4 linked regions of the Oreochromis niloticus genome follow. The protein of the gene in region 1 interacts with the protein of each later gene in a pairwise test. Links are inferred from orthologs where the notes say so. Each region holds a gene or a part of one and is shown on either strand. Other genes may lie near its edges. The genes, in order: eif1ad, stat1a, stx11a and glyr1.

What was found.
Region 2: the proteins of eif1ad (region 1) and stat1a interact in binary tests that used the Homo sapiens proteins (3 or more experiments, as listed by UniProt). The two-hybrid records come from large-scale screens. The link is inferred for Oreochromis niloticus from reciprocal best matches to the Homo sapiens genes EIF1AD and STAT1.
Region 3: the proteins of eif1ad (region 1) and stx11a interact in binary tests that used the Homo sapiens proteins (3 or more experiments, as listed by UniProt). The two-hybrid records come from large-scale screens. The link is inferred for Oreochromis niloticus from reciprocal best matches to the Homo sapiens genes EIF1AD and STX11.
Region 4: the proteins of eif1ad (region 1) and glyr1 interact in binary tests that used the Homo sapiens proteins (3 or more experiments, as listed by UniProt). The two-hybrid records come from large-scale screens. The link is inferred for Oreochromis niloticus from reciprocal best matches to the Homo sapiens genes EIF1AD and GLYR1.

What each region holds. Positions count from the first base shown.
Region 1 is NC_031966.2:32,617,052-32,624,041, reverse strand, and holds the start of eif1ad (putative RNA-binding protein EIF1AD), read left to right. Parts: upstream 1-3,969; 5' UTR 3,970-4,153; intron 4,154-4,183; exon of another isoform or gene 4,184-4,310; intron 4,311-4,405; 5' UTR 4,406-4,437; coding exon 4,438-4,524; intron 4,525-5,263; coding exon 5,264-5,372; intron 5,373-5,778; coding exon 5,779-5,887; intron 5,888-5,982; coding exon 5,983-6,217; 3' UTR 6,218-6,990. Other genes in the region: ctsf (cathepsin F), read left to right, coding at 120-239, 433-497, 2,021-2,111, 2,229-2,287, 2,530-2,604.
Region 2 is NC_031986.2:20,027,862-20,035,525, reverse strand, and holds the start of stat1a (signal transducer and activator of transcription 1a), read left to right. Parts: upstream 1-4,656; 5' UTR 4,657-4,812; intron 4,813-7,200; exon of another isoform or gene 7,201-7,253; 5' UTR 7,254-7,256; coding exon 7,257-7,384; intron 7,385-7,664. UniProt on the Homo sapiens protein: Signal transducer and transcription activator that mediates cellular responses to interferons (IFNs), cytokine KITLG/SCF and other cytokines and other growth factors.
Region 3 is NC_031983.2:20,446,859-20,454,420, forward strand, and holds the start of stx11a (syntaxin-11a), read left to right. Parts: upstream 1-4,562; 5' UTR 4,563-4,845; intron 4,846-6,004; 5' UTR 6,005-6,009; coding exon 6,010-6,891; 3' UTR 6,892-7,562. Other genes in the region: syntaxin-11-like, read left to right, coding at 2,413-3,264. UniProt on the Homo sapiens protein: SNARE that acts to regulate protein transport between late endosomes and the trans-Golgi network.
Region 4 is NC_031969.2:563,675-571,122, reverse strand, and holds the start of glyr1 (cytokine-like nuclear factor N-PAC), read right to left. Parts: upstream 3,022-7,448; 5' UTR 2,903-3,021; coding exon 2,865-2,902; intron 1,855-2,864; coding exon 1,818-1,854; intron 1,739-1,817; coding exon 1,659-1,738; intron 1,576-1,658; coding exon 1,437-1,575; intron 1-1,436. Other genes in the region: ppl (periplakin), read right to left, coding at 6,621-7,448. UniProt on the Homo sapiens protein: Cytokine-like nuclear factor with chromatin gene reader activity involved in chromatin modification and regulation of gene expression. Acts as a nucleosome-destabilizing factor that is recruited to genes during transcriptional activation.

The sequences.
Region 1 (6,990 bases):
ACTAAGATTTTATTCTGTGTTTAGCAATAAGTAAAAACAGAGGGATGTTTTTACTGATAACACAAGCAGATTTTTCCTTAAAGTGCTTTCTTATAATCTTTGCCCCTCGTGTGGTTAAGGGGGTCTGGAGACTGAAAGTGACTACTCCTACACCGGGCACAAGCAGAGGTGTGACTTCACCACCGGGAAGGTGGCCGCCTACATCAACAGCTCCGTGGAGTTACCCAAAGATGAGAAGGGTGAGCACACAGAAAATAAATGTGTCAACAAAGTGGCAAGACATCAAATAGAGTTTATGAACAGACAACAGTGGTTTAACTGCATGGACATGTCAGTGATTTTACTCTTATTCTAACTGTACTGTGATGCTTTAAAACTAAGGGTTGTTAAATTGACTCATTTTGATTTATTTTTGTATCTTTTCTTTCTCAGAGATTGCTGCTTGGCTGGCTGAGAATGGGCCAGTCTCTGTTGCTCTGAATGCTTTTGCTATGCAGGTAGGAGGTTTTTTAAGAAGTTAAATCACTCCTCAAAACAACAAGAAGCAAAGCAGCTCAGTCTTTGCACATTGTTTATTTTTAAGAGGATGAATTCATTTTCTTTGTTTTTTAGAGGTACTTGAAGAAGTTTATAGTGCAGTCAAAACTAGAGAAGGGTATCAGTGAGTATGTGATAGATAATAAGTACTGATTTGTAAACAACTGGACATGAATAACTTGAGCTTATTATTTAATATTACTAAAGTATATTTGTGACTAACTAAACAGCTCAGTCTCTTAACAATCCTCTCTTTAAAGACGTAGCACGTTTTGGGGTCAGCTTGAAATTAAGACGGAAATGTAAAAGTGAGGTCAGAGGTCAAATGTGATGTGATATTTAGATGCAAACTATACTGTGATAGTTAGAATCCCCATTTATCATTCTATTGTCTTATATAAGAGTATAAAAATACATTGTCATTATTAACAATGGCAGTCAGAAACTGAGTTTTAAATCCCGCTATACAACATTAACCTCCTAGGACCTGCCGTCCACATATGTGGACATCACATTTTTGGTTATTTAGACCAAAATACTCAATTTTTTCTATATGGGCCTGATATCCACTTACGAGGACATTATACTGCTACTGTTCTATCAAAATTTTAAATGAATATCCTCATTTGTGGCTCTCATTTTTCTTAAAAACAAAAATAAGGTAAAAAAAAAAAATCTGGAAATTCTTTGTTTTTACATTCATCGGGCCCCAATATGACCAAATATCAAAGAGAAATTAAAAATGCATGCCGTGGAAGAGTTCGGGTCTTAGGAGGTTAATATCACTTTGACCTTCAGATTAGTCTGTTGACCTTGACAAAAAGGTCAGAGGTCAAATGTGACATCATATTTTAAGTTTTTATACAGTATTTTCTATATGTTGACAATACACACTGCACTTGTAAGAGTCATAGTTTCTAAGTTATAAGGCTTTTGCTCATTTTTTGTTTGTTTGTTTTTTTACCAGTAAATCTTTACATTGAACTTGAAGACTTTGGTAGATGAAAGCTAAATTTTAATAGATCATTAATGTGACCCCAGCTCCTTAGTGGAGGTGTCAACTAGGAGTGGAATAAAAATATCAGTAGAATATGTCACGTTGCCTCCTTGTGTAATGTTGGTTTATACGTTACTGATTTATTAAAACATTCCTAACCCCCACCAGTTTGACTTATCAGAGTCAGTACTTGGTGATGGTGCTTATCAAACAGCAAAGTTGTATGTAGATCATTTTCTTGCATGTGTATAGTATCGTGGGCAGTGTATTGTTACTGTATCATATCAGAAGTGACATATTTCCTGCCCAAATAAGAGCAGTTCTTATTCTTACGCTTGTTTATATTGCTGCTGTTGTTAGCTGTTATTATTATGCGCTCCAATCACCTCCAGACTATCTAAACTGGACATAAAAGATAATAAAGATAATAATCTTAAGATACATGTTATTCTTACATTATCTTGAATATCATTTCATTCCCTTCAGTTTTACAGGAAGGGTATATCTCACCCTCTGAAGATTTTCTGCAACCCCTGGATGATCGACCACGCTGTGCTGTTGGTGGGATATGGAGAACGTAATGATTATTTTTTTTATCCCATTTTTTAGTCTTAAATATTTGCCCAGTTTCTGGAAAGCACAGACACATCTTTTTGCCTCGTTTGTCAACAATGTTTCCCCCCTGTGTTCTCAGGTAAAGGTATTCCCTTCTGGGCCATCAAAAACAGCTGGGGGGAGGATTATGGAGAGCAGGTGAGACAGCACGACCTTTCAGAAAACGTATCATTCTAAAACTCTTTCATTTGAAACCAACTACATGACTGAGGATCACTGACATAAAGCACCGTTTTCATAACAGACTCAGTAGAAGTGCTGATCCGTGCACTAGGCTTTACAAAGCTGACTGTTGTTTCATAGCATAGTGAAAAAAGGAGTTCTGTTCATATACAGCCGTGAGGGAGTGAGTGTTAATTTGTTTTTTCTCCTTCACACAGGGTTACTACTACCTCTACAGGGGCTCCAATGCATGTGGGATCAACAAGATGTGCTCATCTGCTGTAGTCAACTGAACCCCTAACATCTCCTACAGACACACACACACACATCATCATGCTACATGCACCACAGCTGTCAGTGGACCCCAGCTCCACATCACTTATCCAGAATGCACAAGAGCTCAACACGCACACATGTGAAGTCCTGCTGATGTTTCTTCTCCATTAAACCAAACCAGTGTTTTACCAGCTCTAATAAAGCTAGCTTTGATGTGATACTGAAACTTTCTAGTAATTTTAAATCAAGATTAAATCTGCTTTTTCTGTTAGTCCTGAAGCTTGGTCAAAATGATTAATGTGTTTAAGGTAACAGCTTGTAAGTCATCTTTACTTACAGTAACGGAGCCCATGCTCATAGTGGTGAGCTGATGGTATGTACTTCAAAGAGTTTTTTGAAAAATAAAGCTTTGATTCTGGAGTGGTTTACTGCACAAACTCAGTTTAGTGCAATGTAATTGCAATAATAGCTGTATAACAGTGAGAAACGAATGATGGGAGTTGAATAAAACAAAAGTGTGAAATCCAGTTGTTTGTTATTTTATGATCTGCCTATCCATTTTCTTTTGCTTATCCAATTCAGGGTCACTGGGAGGCGCTGGAGCCTATCCCAGCTGCCATGGGGTGAGAAATGAGGTAAACCCTGGATAGTCACAGGGGTAACACAGAGAGACAGACAACCTTTCACTGGAAATTTAGAATCACTGATTTACCCAACTGCATGTCTCTGGACTGTGGGAGGAAGCTGGAGAACCCACAGACGCTCAAGAAGAAAATGATGGATTCAAACCCAGAACCTTCTTGCAGCAGTGCTAACCACCACACCGCTGTGCTGCCCTATTTTATTATAACGTTTTTCATGTGCACTGAAACTATATACTGGTTGACAGTATAATTAAACCATTACTTTATATAATTTATTTAGTGCATATATAATAACTTTAACCATAAGGCAAAATTAACTTCAAATAACTACAGTGACAATAAGACCTATAAAGGGAGAAAACATTTTAACCTGTTTATGATTTTAAACGGTATGTTGGGAAGAAGCAGGACCATTACATACATAACGTAGGGAAATACTTTGAACGACAGAGGAGCAACAACGTTCGTGTTCTTGAATGTTCCTTTAATCAAAACAACCTCATTTTCCCACAATGCCAAGGGAAGGTCACGGAACAGCTGGTCTTTAGCAGTAGCTTCTAAAATAAGAAACAAAAGTCGCCATAAGTTAGTGATATAATCTTACAATGAATCACAGTGCATCCTGAAGTAAATTTACATCATTTTCATCACATTTTACCCAATCATTGACAGGGCTTTTAGCGATAACATGAACATTTTACACGTATGGAACTTTTATTTTGAAAATATAGCCCATTTGACATCGGAAGTGTAACATTCCCTGTCTTTTCCCCCACACTGTACTGCAAACAAGAACGCATGTCATTTAATTTTTTTTGTGACTGAATATTTCAGTTTCTTTTTCTACCCGAACTTATACCTGCTGCTCGGAGACATATTCTGACTCAAAAAGACAAACAGCCACTTCTTTCTTTCTTTCAAGGTAGTATTTAACCTGCTAATGTGGAGACAGCTAATGTTAGCATTTTCTGCTAAGTTATCCGTAAGCAACTACTTACTGTTTAGAAGAAACTTGGCAGAGGAAGTTTAAATTATTTATTTATAGAGGCTCATAAAGGAGAAATAATTAAGTTTCGCTGGTAATCACATTAAGCTGACCTTTTAGTGTTGGTTGTTACTGTTACGTCTAGTCTTTAGTTAACTTGAACTTTCGACCCACTCCTCTCTTTCTCAGCTGGCGAAGGAACGTGAAGTCTGCCGGTTATAATGTCACAGGCCACTAAACGCAAACACGTTGTCAAGGAGGTTCTTGGAGACTTTGTCACACCCACAGAAAACCAGCAGATCGTGAAGGTAAACTTTGTATAAAGTACCCTGTATTTCCTACATATTACAACACTCACATTTTAGTAATCAGCAGGATACACTGGATACTTAATTAGGTATAGATTGGAAGTACACGGAAGATCCCCATTTGACTTCAGCGCTGCCTTAAAGTGGACATGTAACACTACTTATAGAAAGGCAAATTTACACTGTGTAGCCCTGCTCTCAAAAACTGATATAGATTTAACACAGTCTGTGAAGCTTGATTTAAGAAATAAGTGCTTTACAAACCCGAACATTACAGAGCCTGTGCAAATTATAGCCTCAGTTTCCTGTTCTTAGCTGACACCTGACCCAGTGTGGTCTTCTGCGGCTGTAGTCCCTTTACTCCAAGGTTTGATATGCTCTTCTGCACATCGTGGTTGTAACCAGTGGATATTTAACTGTTCTCTATAAATTGTAGAGATGATTGTGTCTCACATCAGCAGTTTCTGAAAATATTTAGACCAACTTGCTGACACCAACAACCATGCAACGTTCAGTGTCACTTAAATCGTTTTTCTTCCCCATTCTGATGCTCAATTTGAACTTCCGCAGGTTGTCTTGACCATGTTCACACGCCTAAGTCCATTGACCATCCTCTCCCACTGTGATTAATTCATTAAACATTTTACATTAACGAGCAGTTGAACAGGTGCACCTCATAAAGTGGCTCTTGAGTGTATTTTTCTGATTCTGTGTTTCATCTGCTTCTTTACATTTACAGGTAACTGGGAGCCGTGGTAACAACCTACATGATGCTGTCACAGCTCAGGGTGAGACCTTCTTGGTGAGCATGCCCACCAAGTTCCGCAAGAACATCTGGATCAAGAGAGGTAAGCAATGGAAAGGGAAGTTACGTGGTTAAAACTTCGAGTAATAATCCAGTGACAGCTGGTGGCAGATGTTATTGCATTTTGTGGCTTGTGGCACATACGTTCATGCTGCACTGTGTGTGCTGCTTTTGGGGGAGTTTTTTTGTGGGCATACCAGTTAGTTTACACTTTTGATATTTTACTGCACCTTCCTCCAGGTGCAAACTTATCAGCTGCACATCCATAATGTATACAGTACAGTGAGCCTCGTTGTCATGGTATTCATTGCCTTTTCAAAACAAAAGAACAATATATATCATAGAGCAAACATATAGGTTAGTAATGTGATCTTCCTATAGCTAGTACTGGTCTAAATAAGACCCCCATTTGTGTTTATTCATTTAAATGTTATCTTCTGACTCCAAAGGTGACTATGTGATTGTGGATCCTATTGAAGAAGGAGAGAAGGTGAAGGCAGAGATCAGCTTTATTCTCTACAAGGATCACATTCAGTACCTACAAAAACAGAACCTCTGGTAGGTGGAAACACACTGCATAACCTTTAAGTTTCTCCATCGGCCTCATTATCACATGTTTTGCACTTTTTACTGGGTTTTTTTCTTGTCTCCAGGCCAGAGGGCTTTATGGACGAGCATTCGTCGCAGGATAAGACAAAGAAAGAGCTGGAAAAGGATGAGGACGAGGAAGAGGATGCTAGCGATTCTGAAGATGACGATAGCGACCTCTTTGTAAACACTAACCGCTGTAACTGTCAGTACAGTGAAAGTGAGGAGGATGAGGACGATAGCGAAGAGGAAGAGGACGAGGATGAGGACAAAGAGAAAAGGAGGGAAAATGCTTCATAGCAGCAGCACTGAGGACACGGACAATCAGGAATTGTGAAACAGATGTGACAGCATGCTCTTCTGTGTCGCTGTCATCACTGACTGATGCTACGATGATCTGAAGTAATGGTCCACCTGCAACAGCGCCCTCTGCAGTTCATGTACTGAATGGCTGGGCTCATTCAATGAACTTAGTAATTCCTGCTTGTTTTACAAATCTGTGAGATTAAAATGTAACTGAAATTCAACATGGGATACATTTCTACTGTTTTTTGTGATGATAGGTCCATTGCACATCGCTGGTACATTATATAAAAGGGCACACAGTATATTTGTACGATGACGTTAAATCTATTCAATCTTTTCCGTAGAAATTTGTTTAATCTTTGCTGCCAAAGAAAATCAAAATGTCTTATTGGCGCTGGACATGGTTCTAAAAATGATTGTATCAGCTTGAGTTACAAATGAATGTTGTTTTATTTTTCTCTTACCGAGCAGCAAAGGTTAATTTGTGAAATGACTGAAAAGCTCTTGAAATGGAATAAATCCCAAGCAGAATATGGTTATGTCGCACGGGCTCGATATCCTCTTGTGCATGTTTCCATCTTGCCGGATTTAACACTTAATCCTGAATGCATCTCATTATTATGCAGTCAAGCAGCCATCTCCTCCGGAAAAAGTTCTGCAGGCGTCACACTAGCACATCTGTGGAAAAAAACTACAATATATGGATTCTTAGAAGATTACATCACAGTATCGCCAGCGCACAGAAAATTCCAACTGCAAGTGGAACC
Region 2 (7,664 bases), on another chromosome or scaffold:
TTTCATTTTTATTTATTCTAAATGCTGCTACCGGGGAGCTGCTTTTTGTTGAACCTCTGATGTTTAATGACAGTAAAAGGATTCTGATTTATCTGCTGTGACATGGTTTGCGATGGTTTCACATTCACATAGCCCGTCATCCGCCGGTTGGTGCTGTGCGATACTGCAAACTTTTGGTATCAATCCGATACCAAGTGAATACAGGTTTTGCAGATACCAATACCAATAGTTTTAACCTATAAAGGGAAAGCAGTGTGGAGACGTGGTTTGTAAATATGGCTCTCTCTAAGCCACTCTGGGTTAGTTACTGTTGTTTAAATGTCTTATAGGCTAGAAATACAATAGATGTGACAATCTGCATGTCCCTGGCCAATTAGTAGATTGCAGTCTGTTGACATCATGTTTTGGGCTTGACTAGGCTCGCTTGGGACTCCTAAAAAAGTATTTAAGTACTAAAGAAGTACCTAGTACAAGGTGCTAACACCTAATGGAAAACCCTAAAAACTGAGTCGAGCTGAACTAAGCCAAGCCGGCTACAGCCTAACATAGAGATGAAGAAGTGAACCATCACCTCCAGAGAGCAGCAGTCTGATGTTCAGTGTTCACTGCATCTGCTGATTTTCAGACCTTGAAGCTGTTTGTGAGTTCCCCTTTGACAGATCAGATCCACAGCAAAAACCAAAGAGAAACAGAACATGAGTGGCAGTTTGAGAAATTATGAAATCAGGATTTTTTATTTTTGTTTAAGCAGACGGTTAATGAGGAAGAGGAAGCAGGATGTGGAAATTAACAGACATGTCATTATTAGACCAGCAATGTTAAACTCATTTTACATTGTTGGCCACATACAGCCTACTTTAATCTTAAGTGTGCCAGACCTCTGAAACACCCTTTTCTATCAATATAAAGAAATTTAATTACACATTTATTTTCTGAGATATCTTAATATAAGAAAACAAAGGGCTATTTCAACATTAGGTTTCAGTTTTTTCCAAAGAAATGCTTCTGTAGTAAATGCATGAAAACTGCCAACTCTTAAATTGAAAACTCTTAAATTGTAAGACATACACATGTGAAATTAGAGAAAAAGTGTATCCATGTGTACAATGGAGAGTGTGCAGTGGATACACAGTGGATACATTGTGAAAAAACAAAAAAAACAAACCCAGAAATTTTTGTAGTGGTAAAAAAAAAAAACAGGAACTCCCAGCTTTACCCACATCCTCAAAAGATCTGAGGATCTACAAAAAAACTTGAATTTCACAGTGTTGGCAGTCAGGCTGCCCAAATTCACAGGCTGCATCCACCTGAGGACCCACCTAAATATAACAGGACACTGGCGTAAATTCTCGACCATCTCACACTTCTGTTTAATCAGTTTTCTGTTTGACGTTTATTCAGCTGTGTGAAAACCCCCGGAGGAACCCTACCAAGGGATTAATAAAGTTTTATTTAATCTAATCTAATAATTTTAATCTCAGCCAAACCGATTTACTCAGGAACAAATAAAACACTGAAAAAAGTAAAAAGCAATAACATTTTTAGGCTATCTAAGTGACTTATATATCATGTTTAACCTGAGTAGCGAAAGACCACGGGGGTTTGAAAACGATGTGCCGGGAGTTCGCTGTTCTCGCCGGCTCAGATATTTGAAGTTTACTCAGCTACATTCTCGCCTGAAAATATGCTAAAAGTTTAGTTTGCAACCCAGAAAGAGTAATAAGAGTAATATTAAACCTGAGTAGCTGCCGCCATTGTTGGAAACTGGAATTGGCTGGGCCATGCTATGAATTCTGGGATATGGTTTTTCATTTTTGTTGTCCGGGTAGAAAATCAGGAGAAATTCGGGAGAATGGTGGCTCCGGGAGATTTTCGGGAGGGGCACTGAAATTCAGGATTCTACCAGAAAAATCGGGAGGGTTGGCATGTATGCCTGTCGCCTTGACGTCTGTGGTCATGAAATCCCTTGAACACCTGGTGTTAGCCCATGTGAAGGACATTACAGGCCACCAGTTGGACCCTTTGCAGTTTGTCTACCGGTCAAACTGGTTGGTGGATGATGCACTGCTTTCAGCAACTTCATGATAGCCTCTAGAACAGGGTGGGGAACTCCAGGCCTCAACGTCCGGTGGGCTGGCCTGCAGGTTTTAGATATCACCCTGGGTCAACACACCTGAATCAAATGATTAGTTCATTACCGGGCCTCCAGAGAACTTCAAGACATATTGGGGAGGTAATTTAGCCATTTAAATCAGCTATGTTGGATCAACGACATGTCTAAGGACCTGGCCCTTGAGGTCTGGAGTTCCATCCATTCGCTTCCGCTTATCCTTTTCAGGGTCGCGGGGGGCGCTGGAGCCTATCCCAGCTGTTATAGGGCGAGAGGCGGGGTACGCCAGTCTGTCGCAGGGCTAACACACAGGGACAGACAACCATTCGCACCTAGTAGCAATTTGGATTATCCAATTAACCTATCCCCACAAGCTGCATGTCTTTGGACGGTGGGAGGAAGCCGGAGTACCCGGAGAGAACCTACGCAAACACGGGGAGAACATGCAAACTCCACACAGAAAGAACCCGGCCTGATGGTGGAATTGAACTCAGGACCTTCTTGCTGTGCGGCAACAGTGCTAACCACCGTGCCACCGTGCTGCAGGTCTGGAGTTCCACACCCCTATTTTAGAAGGTTCCTAGCATAGCACAAAGAAACAGGGAACCAACCCTTACTTCTACTAGGATAATAAGAAACAGGTGATTGATTTATTGAAATCTGTCATTCTTCAGAAATAGTTCTTCAGGTTTCTTGAAGAACATTCAAAGCTCTTCTTTGGATGTTTCTGCCTTTTGTTCTGTTCTCTGTCAACATGATCCCACACTGCTCCAATAATGTTGAGGTCCGGGCTCTGGGGAGGCCAATCCATGACTGATAGTGTTCCACTGTGTGTTTTTTCTATCCACGTATGTTTGTTGCATTGGCAGTGTGTTTGGGATCATTGTCATGAAGAAAAATTAAACTGTTTCCAATCAGATGCTTTCCAGATGGTATTGCATGCTGGATCAAAATGTGATGGTACTTTTCTATGTTGATAATTCATCAGTTTTTACAAAGATCTTCAACATCACTGACTGAAATGCAGCCCAAACAATGTCAGAGCCTCCACCATGTTTTACAGATGACTGTAAACACTCACTGTACCTCTTTTCTGCCTACCGGTCTGCATACTAATGATGATTAGAACCATAAACCATAAACATTCAGATCTGGATTCATCACTCCATTAGACCGGTTTCCACTTACTTTCAGTTCAGGCCTTTTCTTCCTGTTTCCCTTCCTGTTTAAGAATGGCTTCCTGACAGCCACCTTCTACTGAGACCATTTCTGATGAGGCTTCGGTGAACATTAGATGGATCAGCTGAAGGTCCAGATGCATCTACCACTTCTTTTTTTCCTCTGAAAGAATTAAGTGAAGTGAAAATTTAGCTAATGCCCAAAGAAAACCTTTGAGAGGTCTTTGGAAAGCCTGGGGAAATACTGCTCAAAACCACTTAGAAAATTACAGGAAATTCTGCTTCTTGGAAGAAATGTGGGCTGGGTCAAGGAAGTTTTCAACTTTGTAAAATATAAGAACTTACCTTACAAAGAAGTAATATTAGTGAAATAATTACGTTTTAAAACCGGTGATTTTTTGTTGTCGGTACAAGATTATAACTTTTTACGGAAGCGTAGAGCTGCCACCCAGGCAAAAGAAAAATAGAAGTATATCACGTTATAACGTGAAAAGTTTATTGTTCTAACAAGATACTTTTCATGTTTGTACAATATACTATCATGTTTGTACAATATACTACTATGTTTGTACAATATACTTTTGACGTTTGGACAATATAATATCACGTTATTACAATATGCATAATTATTACGTTCGTACAATATAAATATCACGTTCGTACAATATAAATATTGTACGAACGTGATATTTATGTATATTGTAATAACGTGATATTATGTTGTTCAAACGTCAAAAGTATATTGTACAAACATGAAAAGTATCTTGTTAGAACAATAAACTTTTCACGTTATAACGTGATATACTTCTATTTTTCTTTTGCCTGGGTGGCAGCTCTACGCTTCCGTAACTTTTGATATTTAGAGTGCAATAATTATTATTTTTTTCTAATTTTTTTTTAGTTTTTTGTTATGTTTTTTAAATGCGTCTTGTTTTAATCAGTTATTGTTTTCTTATTCCACAATTTTTGCACATGTCAACGATCAAACAGAACTTTTAAGTTAAGTTTCAGTTTCAGAGTTGTAGGCGTCCTTGCCGCTTTCTCTTTCTCTGAAAACACGTGGTCACTCTCGGCTCTTCTGTTTACTGACTTTCTCCCTCCGAAAAGCCTGCGTCATGTTGCTTTAAACTAGATTAAAAATACATTTTATGTACAGTGTCGTTCTCTTTAACTGTGTTCAATGACAAAATACATATTGACTCTTCATGTTATGCTTACAGGGGCAGCTTTAAATAAAAAAACACCCTCTGTGTATTTTTTTTTTAAGGCATGCTTGGTAGCTGTGAAGAACAGCCGTTTTTCCCTCTTTGTGATTGGCTGTCTCATGGAAAAGGGCGGGGGCTTGTCGTAAATGGTGTGCGGTGATTGGCTGATAGTGTTTCCGTAAAGTAAGCTGCGCCACTGGAGTAGAAAAAAGGTAGGAGAGCTGTGTGGCTTGTTTCTGGCACATTTAGGGACTCAAGCGTTTTCGGAAACACAACTTACTTCCTGTGGAAGCTTATACACGTTACCTTTACATTAAAGGTAAGTTACACGACTTACATGTTCAAAAGGTGACGTTGTTTTATATAAATCGCCTCTGTGACCTTTTATTTACACAGCAAGCCGTGCTAGGGGAGCATTTAAACTTGACGTTGCTAATCGGTAATGCTTAAAAAAACGACTCCTGGAAACACTTAACGGTAGTTTACGCGATATAAGCGTTCCTCTGTGTATGTTGTAATATTTGTGTATCTGTCCGTAGCCGTTATTTAAATCAAATCTTAACTTTTTACACGCTTATGTCCATACCGCCCACCATTAGGGGTCCGAAACGTAAATAATTACCCGTCAACCAAGTGTAAAATGGGATCTTAGTCGATGTGTAACACCAGATGAATTATTGTATATGCCGATCGCTCAGGTGAGGCACCAACATGTAGAGAATCTATTGAGTCTTGTATTGTTAGACGTTAAAATAAGGGCCTCTGCTTGAAATCCTTAAAAAGACACATTACCGATTAGAGTTTGGCTGAGGAGAGCTAGAAAGGACCACAGGGCTGCCTTAAGTGACTTGGGGAGCCAGAAAGGGATCATGCTCTAAAAATGAAAGCTGTGAAATTGACTTATTGGCTATGATCGTCTTGTGAATGTGGAATTAGGTCATATATCTAGATAGACATACGTTTAAATACTCTTAATGATATATTTTTAAACTGATGCTGGAGGCAAAGTTGCATTTGTGGGGAAACTGAAACCTAAGCTGACCTTAGACGCCTCCTACATTCAGGTTTAGCCACTTAGAACAAGATAAATACAGATAAGATTGAGTTTGATTTTTAAAAAAGTAAACAACAAAAAGGTTAATTTGTCTCTTCTTTAGCTGTCAAACAATCCTGTTTTACAATATGGGAATTAATCTGTGGAGCTAATTACAGCTTATGAGCTTCAGTGTCTATGAAATCCAGCTGCTTTTAACAGAAATCAGTGTTGGATGTTCCTTTACATCATCACACACATATCTTTCTTTGCTTTTACTTTCTGATCTTAAGTCAGAGCAGAACTGAGCCAGGAAGGAGGCAGGTGGCAGCCCGTGACAATCCTCGAGTCAGCACTTATAATTTCAGAATTTCTCACACTAAACAAGCAGCTGGTTTTCTGTAGTGAGATAAATGTTTCGGAGCTTCCTGACCTTTGTCTTCTGTCCACAGTGCTGCAAGGAGAGTCAGAAATAAAAAATTATTTTCAGTTAGACCTTCAAATTATTGAATTATCCTCATATATTTATGGGTTTAAGATGACTTCTTGGAAAACCAAGCTCTGAACAAATGACTAATAAATGTTTCCTTTATTTATTCAGGATTATTACACACATCTACATTGTATATAAACTTTAACTGGGTATCCACATCTAGCGAATTCTCAAAAAGCATAAATTCCCTTTAAAGGGTTTTTAAAAAGTCTCAGATTTCTGCCACTTTTATCTCACAGCCTCATGATAATAGATTCTGTATGTTTTTATTAACTGTTGTGTGTCTACAGCTGGAGACTGCAGACAGAAATGTGACATACATGTCAATAAATTCACACACATGATCTGCATTTGTGGGCATTTAATAATCCGGCTAGAGTTTTCTTCAATCTTTGATGACACACCAGTGAAAAAGTATATAAAATCAGACTTTTTCTGCTCATTTCCAGCTCCATATTTTCACTCCTGGACTCTGCTAGAGTAGCTTTGCATGATTCCCAGATCAGAATAGTCCTTATTTATCTCATACTTGGTCTCCAGTTCATCCTCTGTCTAAGCTGTTTTTGCTCCTTCACTTTTAAGCTGGCTTTCCTCTGATTGGCTGCCCCTCACTATCAAGACTTTTGTTGCACATGTTAAAGATATGTGCCCTCCATGACATAAAGATCAAAGAGTAGGAAAATAAATTATTGAAACTGAGTATTTAGAGCAGTCGGAGGCTACAGTGATTACTCGCACATACACTGTCCTCATTATTTGAAGCTCTGTTGGATGTTTCATATCAACATCCACCACAGAAACAGGCTATGTATGACAGCAAAACCACTTTAACATTTCTTATCTGTGACACTAAAATGGCAGATAATCTTGCCTGATGCTCGGTAGAAAAACCTGTATATATGTAGCCACCTTCTGTTTTTTTAGGAAAATCATGAAGCTGAGCATTTTGGCCACCACCTACCTGTTGATTTGAAACTGATTACCTCTTATTTCTGACACTAATACAGCTAAAAAGCAATAAAGTTAAGTTCATGTTATATTAGCAAGATGTGAAAGTACAGATTTAGGCAAATAAATTCACCAAGAGAGTTTATTTTATTGGCATCACTGAGCAGGGGAAGAGGCTACCTGCTGGTCATTAGTAAGAATGCAGCTTTTAGACTCTCCCGTCTTTTATGTAAGCTGTGGCACATCGTGCAAAAAACGTCCTGACAGAGCTGCTTTCATTCACCAGAAGATGGCGCAGTGGGGCCAGCTTCAGATGCTGGACAGCAAATACCTGGAGCAGGTGGATCAGCTGTACGATGACTCGTTCCCCATGGACATCCGGCAGTACCTGAGCAAGTGGATCGAAAGCATCGACTGGTAAGAAGTCCGAATAAAGGGCAGCGTCTTTTTTTTTTTGCCAAACGTTTCTCATCGACTCGTTTGAACCATTAAAAAGTTGTATTTATTGTAATACCTGTACTGATTTACCTAAATTTTTTTATCTGGCATATCCCCTCCATACAAAAAAAAAAATAGAGGAAAAACTAACACTGAAACAAGAAAATCAAAGGTTGCAAAGTAAATCAAAGCAAAGGTTAAACCGGATGTCCTGATGGAAAAGAAAATTGTAGGTGCATTTATATCGGGATCGTAGCCC
Region 3 (7,562 bases), on another chromosome or scaffold:
CCATGAGAAACATCCCAGTGACTCAGAAACTCAGTAGGCTGATGGAAATTACTGCTCATGTACATGCAGCCTATGCACCGAATGATCTATCCAGCTTGAGTTTCTTTTTCTGGCTGCATGACTGAAAATCACTTGATGGTTGGTGGCTTCACACTTAGATTGTGTTTCATGAAACAGGAAAGGATGTAGAATTATTAAATAAAGAAGACAAGGCAGTCTTTCTTGCCTTCTTCTTTTTCTTTTTCTTTTTTTTTAGACTTGAGTTTTTATCATATAAGAACATTTTGGTCCCACCCCTCTGGAAGATAAGCTATCTCAAATACTTCCTCTTTATTTTTTTTAACATGTTGTGTGTCCAAAGTCAGTGACCTCTATCCGTGATGTTATCTTATATGTGCTTTGTCAAGGCCTCAGCACAGCCATTTACCCCCTTCATTGCCATTTCTGTTGACAGAAAACAACACCCGAGAACGCTAAAAGTAGTGCAGTAAAGGTAATGATAATAGAGGTGAAATGTAAGCAGGGGTGCTTCATCTTTATGTTAAATCGCTGACAAGTATGGCTTTGTCCTACTGTACGTCACCTCACGTCTCCACGTGACACGAGAGGAATGCAGAAAGTTTTGTTTTTAAAAACCTTTCCTCATAAGCAGGTCTATCAGAGATGATGGTTAACAGTTTTAAAAAATCACTTGCTCTTAAAGCAGACGTCACTCTGCTAACTGGACTGAACTCCTGTTTTCATGATCACCTTTAACTACAGAGGACAAGGAAGTCTGAAACTCATCTACAGCTAACTAAGAACACTACAAGTAAGATATAATAATTATATAATCATAGCGTTATAGGTTTTATATTCTTTAGGTTTGCTCAGGGGGCCTTTTTAGTGCAAATGTTGTCAGCACAGCATCCTGCTACAAGACATTAAACTGTTAGTGAGTTTAAACTGCATCTGATAGAAAGGGAGAATTTTTCTTGATGAACCATCATCATCAAAGAAAAGGGCCAGTACTGGCAAAATCATACACCTATGTCCATGTACTTTACACTGTTAATGTTTACAGAAAGTATTCAAATCCCAAATAAGACTTTTTCAGTGCTCAGAATAATAGATTATGTTTAAATATGTAAAATGTGTATTATCTATTGTAAAAATCATTTAAATCCAACCAGACTTCCTTGTGACTGAGTTCATGTCTGCTTTGTATGACGGTGATCAGTAACATGATTTGCTTGTCTTCTCTTGTTTTTTGTTGAGTTAAGCTTAAAATATTATTATTATTTTTGTTTTTTGGGGGTTGGGCTTTTCAGGAAAGTAGGAAATGAGAGTGTTAAAGTTCCTCAAGTCCAAATAAAACCTGGGCTGCTGCATTCAGCCTTGAGGCTCACGTTTACCTGATCTGCTTGGGACCTAAACCGTCACCAAAGCTTAAAACACTTTAATTCAAAGTTTTAGCACTAACAAAAAAATCCAACAGCTCCTCTGTTTGAGAACTTGTTTGGCAAGTCTTTGACAGACTACATGTCCTAGTGGATCAGGAGAATTCATCTAAGATTACTCGATACTGGAGACGTAGAAAATGTGCCACGCTGCTATGCACTGATTACAAAACCTTTGTGTTTTATTTTGTAAGATGAGCTTAACAGAATAAAAGCTTTACAGTTATTAGCTGGGAAACAGCTTTCTCTTGGTGTTTTTCTGTTTTTTTAAATTGCATTTTTCTTCTTAGCTTGTACAACAGGAAGCATTTATGTCTTCAGCAGGGATGTTACAGTTTGGCCTGTTCGGGGTAAAAAGGTCAGGCAGTGTCAGTCAGTTCAGCAGTTCAGTGGTTTAATTGGTTGTGATCAATTAAACCAAGTTTGAAGAGTAAATATTTCCTTAAATTTCAGTTTGAAATTTTTTATTCATTCACTTTGTAAAAAAAGAATAAAAAATAAAAGCAGCTGCAAAGCTTATTGTATATTTATTTTTAATCAACACAACATGTGTAATTTAAAAAAGGCATTGCACGTACACACAAACCCACAGATGATAATAATCTCCTCAGCTTCGTAATGGTGAGGGTTTTTTTTTTTCACTTTAAGACACTCACTTCTCCCATCGTCATCATTTTGAACTGCTGCAGATTGCTTTTTTCTGAAAAAGCAATCTGCTCACACACACACAGACACACACCTAGCTGTTCAACATAGCTTAATTTCAACTTTAGCAGGCAAAGAGCCAAATACCTCCCTTAGAAGCTGAAGACTGGCCTCAAACATGATTACAAATGAAGAATAAGGTTGCTCATTGCCTCTAAAAGTTGCTAAACACTAAATATATTGTTTGTGATGCTTTTTTTTCAAGTCATGGATAAACCTTTTCTCCCAGATGAGTAAATCTACCTTTTTTTTCTGTTTCCTTCCAGCCATGAGAGACAGACTGGGACACCTGCATCAGGTCCAGACTGACACTGAGGGTTTCAGTACAGTGGAGCTAGATAACCTATCAGATCATGATGCAACAGCTGGAGATAATGAGCTGGATGATGTCCTGAAGGAGGCCCAGCTGATACGTCTGGAAATCCAGCAGATCCAAAATGACATCAGAGATCTGAAGGACGTGAACTATCAGGCTTTGAATAAGACTTCAGACTCCATTGTGATAAAACGGGACTCCAATGCAATCGGGGCAGATATTAAACGCAGAGGAGAAGCTGTGTTGCAGAGGCTGCATATGCTAAATAACCTCAGAGGTGAACTGGAGGTCCAGCGCGGCAGTTTGGACCCCACAGTGCGCGTTGCTCGAACACAGTACCACTGCCTGAGCAACGCTCTGCGGGAGGTGATGTTCAGCTACAATGACACAGAGATGAACCACAGGGAAGCCTGTAAAAAGCAGATCCAGAGACAGATGGAGATAGTGGGCAAGGAGGTTAGCATGGAGGAGCTGGAGGAGATGATGGAGGGTGAAGAACTGACTGTGTTCAGCACCCAGATACAAGGCAAATCTGCCCGGTCTGCCCTCATGCAGATCGAGAGCCGGCACCATGAGCTGCAGGAGCTGGAGAAAAGAATCGAGGGGATCCAGGAACTGTTCCTAGATGTGGCTGTCCTCATGGAGGAGCAGGGCACAGGAGTGGAAAACATCCAGAAAAATGTTCAAAATGTTGATGTGATCATTCTGGAAAGCAGGGTCTATCTGGATAATGCCACTAAATCTGATAAAAACAACCCTTTCAAGAAGATGTTTTGCGGCTGCTTTCCATGTTATCACAATTAGGCCTTATGAAGCTTTTATTGATTCTAAAATATGGTGAAACTTTTAATGAATCACACTGACTTCCAGGATACACCCACAGATGGGTGCACAGTAGATGGCGCCACTAATAGAAAGGTTTGAACATTGATGGTGATGAAGCCAAGTTGGGCTGGTCATCATAAAACAAGACCCACCAAGGTGCTGATTCTCCGTTTCTCTGGGAAGGGCCCCACTTCCTGCAAGCCTGAATTGGATAGGTGCTTAAAAAATAGATGTATAGTGAAATATTTATTTAAGGCATTTATCTGTAAAAGCAAAGTGCAATTGCTAATCTAGAGCTGTTAATATTTAACCTTAAATCTTTACGTTAGGTGATTTTAGATTGTTATTTTAGGTATATTTAGATTTTATGTGATTTTATGTGAAAGTGTAATGTGGCCTTTATTGATAGAAGTATAAAAGTTTAGCCATTAACAGGCTGGTATGACTACGACTCCTGTAACCATTAATGATTTCTTCCTGTAACTGTATGATACCAGTCAAAGGACAGTGTCAATAATCTGGATATCAGCCTATACTAAGTCTGTGTGACTTGTCCTCCTTAAGTAAAATAATGATTTAAAAAAAACCTTGCGTGAGTATCCCTTCTTCATTTCAACTTGATCTTTATCATCTGTAATTTTACATTGCGAGTACTTCAGCTTTTTAAATACTCTGATACATTATCAATTTTTCAACACAGGACTGTTGCAGCTGACTAAATGGAGCAAATGGCCATAGCACTTCTTCTGTCCCTACATATAAGGCAGTTATGAAGGCTTTTTCTTGCCCAACTACCAAAGAAAATTGCTTATTACAGGTTACAAGACTCACAGTGTTGTAACACTCCCCCCCCCCCTCCCCTTTCTCTCAGAAATGTAAATTTTAATACTCGATGTATATTTTTAGCATTGTATTTTTAGACCTGATCATTAAAACCACATGTAAAATATTGGGGTTGCACTTTCCACTTGTGTCAAACACTTGTTCCTGAACACTAAATGTGTTTTATGTTGAGGCTTTGCCCCCGTTTTCAAGGTTAATGTTGAACTTCTATTCGCGTTTTTATATTAGTATAGTAAGCTGAATTTCTTTTTTTGTCCTTCTTGTATTCTTTTCTATCTTCACAGCGAAGAGTTTAAACTAAAATGAAAATGACTGAGATTCGTGGTCGACTCATAAGTCTAAAACGTTTTTAGAACACAAAACCTTTATTGCGCAAATGCCAAATGCGCACGCTTTGACATAAAAACACACCATATAAAATGACTGTGACTGACCTACACCTCCTTCCTGGAATCAAACCCGAGAAGCAGTGAAATGTGTAAAGGGGAAAAGGCGTTATCTTCCGCATTAATACCCGCTGCAGGCTATATGGGCAGTGTAATGTCAGCGTGTCACTTGTAATGTATAGGACGTGATGCAAGACCTCCTTAAAATTCTAAGTTGACTGTTGAAATTTGCATTTATAACCGAGACAAAAAGAGGAAATGACTCTTTCCGTACTCGCCCCTTCTGCTTTTGGGACTTTAATTCTCTAATATCGGTGGAGGACACAAAAAGGTAGGCTGTGTGCACCTTCTGTTGTACTCTCTATGTAGATATAGGCTCAGTAATCGATACATTGGTGTATTGTGTCATATAGGTCGATTTCTATATCAAAAAATTGCTTTCGAGCTATTCTGTTTCCTCCCGATCTCACCTTATCACGGGAGAGGATGCTTTGCGCTTCTCTGATGTGGTTTTTTCATTTTAGTGAGGATTTTTAACATTATCTACATCACAGTACACCTCAGGAATTGATTCGTTTAGCAGGAAATAACCGCGAATGAAGGACAGGAACTTTTAAAATAACTTCTATCTGATGATGATGTGAGTCACACAGCTGAGGAAGTAACTCGCCAATGCTTTTGAGGACTTTTCACTGACCTACAGCCACCTTGCATAGCACATCAAAAACTGTTATCGTTATCTAAAAGTGAGACTTAACATTAGTGCCTTAATATTAATAATAACATATCAAAAGAAGAACTCAGTGTCATACCAGCCCCTTCCTCTCTCTGTTAACAGGAGGATTCAGTGCAATATTGAAAGGAAATTACCAAAGAACAGTAGATTAATACTCATGCTGGTCACATTTATGTGACCCATCTTATTTGCTATTCAATATCCAGTTTCATTCAGTAAGTGACTGGAGATTTTCCATACATTAAAAATAAATAAATAAATCTGGGACTTAACTTGTGTAGCTTTGTGTGATTCACATTTCAGAATAAACCTGTCAGATAAGCCATTTTAAGTCCTCTCTCCTTATGGCCGCCGACCTTTACCCCAATTTTCTTCTGATTAGCTGAAAATAAAAGGCTTGAATACAGATGGGTGGGGCTTCTGTGCTCAAGGCCAGAGACCTGTGTGCCTGAGATGACTATGTTAAGGATATATGTACAAAGTGACGTCATATAGAGCTGAGAGTAGAAACAACAGTCCAAAGCCTGGTTGTTTTCTTACATGTACTAATATCACTATTTGAAACTTTTGCTTTGTTTAATATGAACAGTATACATGTGACAGGAAATAAGATGACGAGGAGCAAAGCCAGCAAAATAAAGTTGTGCTATGAGAATTTTTGATATCAGTTTTTTTTAATGTAGTTCTTCAGAGTAAAGAATGCATTTCCCACAATTCCATTAGAAAGGTGAATAAATGTCTGTGACTCTTGCAGGTAAGATGAAGGACCGACTGACTGAGCTCCAGGCCTTCACGCCTGCAGAGCAGGAGTACAAGCCCACGGAGAACGAGAGACTCACCGGTGAGGATGAGAAGCCTCTGGAGCAACACGCCATCGTGTTTGAGGGTGAGGACATGATGGATGGCATCTACAAGGATGCCCAAGTGATGAGGAAGGAGATCCAGTTGCTCAGAATGGATGTGAAACGTCTGGGGAAGCAGAACACCAGGTTCCTCACATCAGTCAGGAGGATCAGCAGCATCAAGCGGGACTCCAACGCACTGGGACGAGACATCAAGGCCAGAGGGGAGTCCATTTATAAAAAGCTGGAAAAAATGGGGAAGCTGAGCAAGGAGCTGGAGGAAGCCCATGGTGTCACATCAGCTTTGGCTCGCATGGTGCGCTCGCAGTATGTGTCTTTGACCAGCGCCTTCCACAGTGCCATGTCTGAATACAATGAGGCTGAAATGGCGCAAAGGGAGAATTGCAAAACCCGCATCCAGAGGCAAGCAGAGATCATGGGCAAGGAGGTAACCAGGGAGCAGATAGACGAGATGATTGAGACGGGCAAGTGGAATGTCTTCTCGGATAATCTCCTACTGGAAGGGAGGACTGCCAGATCTGCTCTCAACGAGATTGAGAACAGGCACAAGGAGCTGCTGGAGCTGGAGGGCCGCATTAGGGACATTCACGAGCTTTTTTTCCAGATGGCGATGCTGGTGGAGCAGCAGGGTTGCATGCTCGACAACATAGAAGCAAATGTAGGGGCAACACAGGACTATGTAGCCAAAGCTTCAGCGCACATCAAGCAGGCTAAAATATACAAGGAAAGCAATCCATGCAAGAAGCTGTTTTGTTGTTGTTTCCCGTGCTGTAAATGAGGCGCCACCAGTTCCCGCACCCTACCAGAACGTTTGATTCAAATCCGCTTTCCTGCAAATGTTTCTGAATGCTTACATGAAAGCTTTTTGCTGCTCTAGATGTGTCCAGATATCACATTCTGGTATCATTTTCTTTACTGAGTTGATACCAACTAGTCAGAGTGATTCAAACCACATGCACATATGCAAATATATACAGTGCGATAATGGTAGTTACATTTCCTGATTGCTACTGAGAACAGCTTATGCATACACGACTGCTGTAAAAACATCTAAATTATTATTTCATGTGGCTTGCAGCTTTGTTTAGCTTTTAGCTTTGTACAGTTTGGAATGCGGCATGCAATATTTAAGCCCATATAGTATGATTTTATTTATAAATAAATGCCTTGGAGTGGCTATATTTGGACAACTTGAATGTACATCTACAGCTAAGCTCGGAACTGGTACTTGCTATAGACGTGTTTCTTATTGCAACCATTGCTTCACAAGTGTGTAGAAACACTGATCACAGCTCAACCAGCAATTGTGGTTAGCTGGGGAGGCAAGTTAGATTTGTGAGGATTGTGCAACTATATGTTAGCCACCCCCAGCTACAAGCCAAGGCTGTGCTTTTCCTCCACGTGTTGCTTCACATAAAAAAAACACAAAAATATTTGTGTGTCAGCTCC
Region 4 (7,448 bases), on another chromosome or scaffold:
TCTACATGCTGATGATCACCTTTGATTTCTCAGGGGAGAAGCTTCAGCAAATGTCGGTCCTGAACAGTCCTACGACCTGTGGATTACTGACAGCTGTTCATCGTGTACACCTCAGACTCTCAGTACAGCTCTGGGTCATGCCACCTACAGACACGCTGTGACAAAGCTGCAGTGGTTGGATGTACTAGTGCTGGACTATGGGAGGAATCTCCTTCTTCTGAATGTGGATAAGACAAAAGAGATGCTGACTGACTTCAAAAGGAAGAGGAAGGATACACCACCCGTGGGATGTTGATGTGGTGGAGAAGTCCAAGAACCTGGGCATCCACATCATCAACAGGCTGAACCGGCAGACCAACACAAAGGCTGTATGCGAAGAGGACGAGCAGGCTCTGCTTCCACAGGCAGAGGGAGTGTGTGCTCTGCTGTGCGAGCAGTATCACAGCTGCTGACACCAACAGACTGAACGAACCCGACAGGAAGACGGTCTCTGTGATTGGCTGCACTGGACACATTTTAAATTGTGTTGGTGACGAGGTCAGTGAGCAAACTAATCTAGGAGTAACTCCAACACTTTGATTAGAAACGTTCCCAACATTAAGCGCACGCAGCCAGCAGTTTTAAACAAAAAGTCTGTTACACACCGCGACGAGCAAAGAGTCGGAGCTGTTGAGACGGTGAGCTCAGGTCGAGTAAAAGAAAATATGTTTCTAGCATCTTTCCTGTATCACTGCTAAAACCTTCTCTTGGAAAAAGCTAGCGGGAATCCCAAAGAACTGCTTGAGCCAGTCGACGTGATGTCACGTGTGATGTGCAACACTGTAGGCGAGGGTGAGAATGGCAGGCAGACTGGATATCCAGAGGAGCACCGTTTCTAACAGACTGATTCATCTCCATAAACCTGGGTAAAGAGGCGGGACCACCTCCACTTTCACTGTGTGACCATTGCACTCTGTAGCTACAGGTTTATGCTTGTAAACAGCACACCTGCCGGTGCAGCTCGTGTTGTTTTAGTGTGGTTACTAGGCCCCATCGTCATCATCAGCATGTGAAGATTTCCACATACAAACTGAGTTTTACAAAGAGCTCAGAGCATGCAGCACCACAGGTGTGGGTCCTGGGGGGACGTGGCCACAGACTCACTGTCACTTCTCTGACCAATCCCAGCACACGACTGCCTTTTAACGTTTTTGATTAAGAAAGGAAAAAAACAAAGAAAAACAAACACACCACAACTGTTTGTAGACAGTCTATGTGAATAAAGACACTGAGCAAAAAGCTCAGTTATAATTAGGCAAATTACTGTGGTGCTGCTTGCTATGAACTTAAAACCTCCAACAGAAAACTCCAGTCGTCACGTGATTGGGGGTTACATCTAAGTAGACTGTGACTTTTCTGCATCTTCTCGGTGTTAGGTGTCAGAGGTCCTGGCTCACCTGTTCTTTCCCCTTTGCTTTCTTTAAGAAGTCCTCCACTGCATCAACAGCTTGCTGGAAGCGCTTTCCTTTATTTATCTTGATCATCTCTTCTTTGTGGGCATGGTACGGCTTCAGCTGTTCTACTTTGATCCAGGCACTGCAGACACACAACTCTCCCATATCAGCTGGAGAAGGCACAGCATGGTTAGCCAGAACAGGAAGCTGATGATCCATACTTACTGGTCCTCTGTTCCAAAGAACTTCACAAAGTGGCATTTCTTGCCCCTGGGCTTTTTCAGGTCCTTGGGAGGGCTTACTATCTGAAACGAGAGTGTTCAGTGTAACGTTAGCATCATTTTCTTAATCTAACAAACGCGTGGACAAGCTGTGGCTCCTTACCTTTCCTGGCCATGGTGGGTAACGACCGAGCTTCCCCCTGAAATAAGACCACAGAGTTAGCACCGAGCCCGTGATCTTCACAGAGAAGCACTCAGGCTCACTGTTCTTTATATCTCTGCTCAGCAGTTCCACAGTGAGCTGGTGGCTTTGGCAACGATACATCAGCTAACATTATCAGTGACATCCAAAGTCTGACTCTACATGAACTGTCAGATAAAGAAAAACTGGGCCAAGCGCGGATCATTCCCAGGTCTGTGTAGCATCAGCTGCCCGCCTCAAACCCCAGCGGTGTTGATTCGGTACTAAAAGCACCATAAGACAAGCATTGAGCTCGCAGTCTGACTGCTAACAGCAGGATTCGAAGACTGCGGAGATGGCTTGTATTGATCAGTGCCCGTGTACCCGTGACCAGCTCGCGGCGCTCGGTGGGATTTGTCCCCGAGCCTCCGCACACTGCCCTCGTCTCCTCAGCACTTGTTCGCCCCGGTTTCACTCAGATTGCTAACTGCATCGTCTGTCACCCTTCCCGTGGTGCCGGTGTAACGGTCTCCACAAACAAATGCGTAAATGTGTGGAAATCTAGCCTTTACGAAAAACTTGCAAATGCGCCCGCCCGCAGTAACACGGAAGCCGAGCGCAGACATCCGCTCAGGCTCTGCTGCTAGCAAAGATCGTCACAGACCACAACATTTCCACGAGCCGAGGCACTGAGTCCGTTTAACGTAGGTCTGCACATACACACGACGGCGAATAAAATGATCTTCAAAGACAAGTTTGCGTGGGGAAAAACACCTGCCTAGTTTGGGTTTAAACCGTTACTGTAGCTTGTTTGCTAGCCAGCAGCTAACGTCGGCTGCAGGCTGAGTCAGCTCGGTTAGCGATTTGTTTGGGTCGGCTATCCACTAACCCAGCACGGGAAACACTTGCCAAGGATTACACCTGGTTTACGCCACGGAGAAACATCACTGCCACGCGTCCTAATGCAGCTCTGCTCTATGGTCCGCAGACAGGAACCGGAGCACTCAACCTTGTGTAAAGGTTACTCACCACACTAGATCCCCGATCCTCAGATGCACCGTCGCCATCTTACAACTTTAATAAAACGTCGCACTGAATGAGAGGAAAAGACAACACACACCCACTAATCACATGTGAGGCCAGCCCCACCCCTTTCTCATACGTCACATCCGTCGCTCTGTTGTTTACTACACGTTTGAAGCATCAGCAACAGCAGCATGCACAATATCTACAGCATGTCCTTCATACACACATAACGATATAAATCCACAGTAAGAAATGACTCAGCCACGGGGAGCCACACGCTGGTCCCAGGCCTGCAGAAACGGGAAAGGTTACATCGGGAAGGGGATCCTCCAAAAAACCTTGGCCGAATCATTATTACAAAAATGCGCTTTCCACATAGGGTCGGCCAACTCTGCTGCTGCCTGAAGACAAACGAAGAGGGAGGGAGGGTGTGTTAGGAGGCTGTGAGAGTGTGGAGGCAGCTATATCTACAGGAGAGCAGGTGGAAAGGAAGGTCAGGAGCACTGGAGGTGGATTCAGGTTGTTCTACACAGGTGTGCGGTGACAGTAAATGGGAGTGTTTCTTATATAATGCTTCTCTACGTTACGTGAGCACTCAAAACACTTTACACAGCATGTCTTATTCATCATTTAAAGACATCTTTCTGTCTGTCTAACATTCACACATTCATACTACGATGAATGTATCAGGAGTAACTCTGGATTCCGTATCTTGCCCAAGAATCTTTGTCATGCTGAGCTTGTTTTGGCATTTCTAATTTTTGAGTCACCAGTAATGAGAGCTGTCACCTGCCGTTGTGGTGGTACCGCGGAGTTTCCCCGGGACCTGTGGCTGCTGGCCCTAGCACCTCAAACCTGGAAGACACAGTAATGATCTGGATGGTGGAGTGCAGCAGGACTGTCTTCCTTGTTTGCACTCACCTTAGATGAATATGCAGGGTGCAGAAGGAGGCTGCATGGAACATGTCTGCATGTTGGTGACCTGTCCACAGTGTACCCTGCCTCTCACCAGCTGTCGTAGGGTGAGAGGCCCTGAATCGGATAAAAAACTGATGGATGGAATAGAAACAAACGGTGACTCAAGGGTTTTTCACTGTACTGCATCGGTAAGAAAGGAGCTCCATCTCATTTTGTGAACTTGTCATAGTTAAGTTTTATTTCTTTGTTTTTAATATAAATCCACTTGTTGTGATTAAAGCAGTATATTTAGAGTAACACATAACACATGCCAGTTTTCTCATCTTACATTAGCACTTTCTGTGAATATTGAGATCACACCTCATCAGTTCAAGCCATTTTCACATTGTATTTAGATAAACAAGACTGCATACTGGAATTTGATATCCCTTATTTAACTTAACTTTGACAACTTTGATCCTGATAAAACATTTTTTTTCAGCTTCCAAAAAATAGTTTAAAAAAGCAACTTGTGTAAAATGTGCTGTTTATTGTCCTCCGTCAGTTTCTAAGTCAGTTCTTGACTCCCTGGTACAACTCTCACACTATAGAAAAGCTCTCTGATTGACGAAAGTAAGAACAACCCTAGGTTTCTCTTCAGCACTGTAGACAGGCTGACAGAAAGTTAGAGCTCCGTTGAGCCGACCATTCCTTTAACCTTAACTAGTAACGATTTCATAAATTCCTTCACAAATAAGATTTTAACTATTTGAGAATTGGGGTGGATGAGGTTTGCCCTGAGTTCCTGAAGGCTCTGGATGTTGTGAAGCCAGCTTTTTACCCTGTTGACGATACTTGAGGGTGCATGGAAGTTTGCCCAACCAGGTTACATGTGTTTTGTGGACATGGAGAAGGCATTCGACCGTGTCCCTAAGGTGTTCTTCGCGAGTATGGGGTGTCTGGCCTGCTGCTCCCTACACAACTGTTCCAAGAGCTTGGTCTGCATAGCCGGCAATAAGTCGAACTTGTTCCCGGTGGGAACGAGCCTCTTCCTCAGAGATAGGGTGAGGAGTTCAGAAGTAGGGGTTCAGAGTAGAGGCGCTACTCTTCCACATCAAAAGGTACCGGTTGAGGTGGTTTGGGCATCTGACAAAGATGCCTCCTGGGCCCTGGGCCAGACCCAGGACACACTGGAGAGATTAACTCTTGGCTGGCCTGGGAACAACTTGATGTTCTCTCGGACAAGAGGTGGTTGAGGAGAGGGAGGTCTGGGCTTTTCTGCTTAGGCTGCTGCCCCCGGATAAGTGGAAGAAGATGGATGGATGGACCTTCACTCCATTTCCAGAGTGTAACAATCAATCTTAAATGCCCATGGTGTTGATTGCTACTAATGACAAGAAATAAAGCCGTTTCAACGCTTAGGGCTGAACCATTTTTTAATGGTGGTGGTGGGGGAGCACTATGCAATACATTCAGATTTAGAAATTATATTCATTGTTAATTGTAGCTAGCTTATTTTAATAAACAACACTCATAACAAATCATATGCATAACTATGGTGGCAACTATGGATTGTGCCACCACAGTAGATTCGTCCCTGAATTAATTTCTATCCCTGAAAAGCCTTCAGCTGATCCAAAATGCTGCAGTGAATATACTGACAACAACTAGAAAGAGAGAGTGTGGTTGTCCTTTACTGGCTTCTTTTCGTTGGCTCCCTGTTAAATCCAGAATTTAAAATGCTTCTCATCACATACAAGGTCTTAAATAATCAGGCCCCATCTTATCTTAATGACCTTATAGTACCATATCACCCCATTAGAGCACTTTGCTCTCACGCTACCCTATGAACTTGTTGTTCCCAGAGTATTTAAAAGTAGAATGGGAGGCAGAGCCTTCAGCTTTCAGGCTCCTCTTCTGTGGAACCAGCTTCCTGTTTGGATTCGGGAGACAGACGCCCGCTTTTCTTTTAACATTACGCCTAAAACTTTCCTTTTTGATGAAGCATATAGTTAGGGCTGGATCAGGTGATGCTGAATCCTCCCATATTTACAGTGCAATAGGTGTAGGCTGCTGGGAGCTTCCTGTAATGCAATTCACTCTCTGCATTTAATTATTAGTTATTATTAATCTCTGGGTCGGTTCCACAGCATGTCTTTGTTCTGTCTTCCTCCCCTCCTCTCCAGTTGCATGCAGCAGATGACTGCCCCCTCCCTGAGCCTGGTTCTGCTGAAGGTTTCCTCATGTTAAAAGGGAGATTTTCCTTCACACTGTCAAAGCACTTGCTCATGGGAGGGAGGGGCATCCGATTGTTGTTGTTTTTTCTGTATTATTGTAGGGTCTTTACTTTTTACAATATAAACTGCCTTGAGGCAATTGTTGTAATTCAGTGCTACATAAATAAAATTGAATTGTGATACCATAAATTCCATACATGTTTTCCACAATCAAATACCCCACAAGACATTACATTTTTATTGAATTTTTTATTGAAAGCACACAGCCGATAACCCTGTTTAAAGCCCATAAATAAATGAAACACTTAGTACTCTTGTGAGTTTTAGTGACAATATATCAAAGATACATTCTTAACCCTGTCACCAAGTTAAAGAAATTAAAGATCGAACTTTTCATCATCAAAAATTTATGTAGCTGGCTGTGATGATGGTAATATCAGTCCATGTATTCATGCCAGATATGCATAAGAAAATAAATACATGGTGTATTTGGGACTCGTAGGTAAAAACACATAGTAACTGAGGGTCACCACAATATTAAAGTGAGAATATAAGTATATATTAAAAGCTAGGAAGACCAGTCAAAACAGATTTTTTTTTAGAATGAAAATCAAAAACATATCTTTTAGAGCCCCCTGTTCTTGCCTGATACCAATGCACCAAACTCCTGGATAGAGATTTCTTTATTTAAGTACTGCTGAAGCTGGCGATTTGTGATGTGTCCAAGGCGCAGTGCATCATCGATGGAAAACTTTTTTCCTGATTTTCTGTCATGAAGCACAGAGGATTCTCCCTGCGGCCCTTTGACTGAGATCTCTTCCCAGTCACACTCCTGGCTCTGCAGGTTGACAAACATCTTCCAGTCGATCAGCCCTAGTTTGTAGGCTTCCTCTGGTCGCATCTCCTTGCCGGTATCTGGGTCGATGACGACAATAGACCTGCGGAGATGGCTTTCCCTCTGTTCCCTCTTCATCCTCACAGCTGCCAGGTTCTTTTTAAGCTTCTCTATTTCATCATCCTTCTGGTTTGTTACAGCCCTCAGCTCTGCCAATTCCTTCTGTAATGAATCAAGCCTCAACTCCAAGTTCTTTGAATCCTCTCTTGGCGCAGACTCCGTAATAAGCCGAGTCTCTTTGCTTGTGATCTCAATCTCTGACCGAAGCTTGCGAATCTCATTTTGCAGCCTTTGGTTTTCCTGCTGCAATCGGCTACTTTCATCACGGATGTAGTCCAATTCTTTGGTAGACTTGGTGTTAGAAAACTCCATATCAGAGAGCCTGGAATTGAGGGTGGATAGTTCTTGGTCAAGTTCTCGCCTTCTTCTTTTCTCATCTTCCAGAGTTCTCTTTAGGTTCTCAATCTCAATCTCTGCCTCTGGGTCCCGCTCAACTTGGACTTTCTCAGTGCGGACAACCCTTTCCTTCACATCTACCTTTTCCAGGGTGATCTGCTG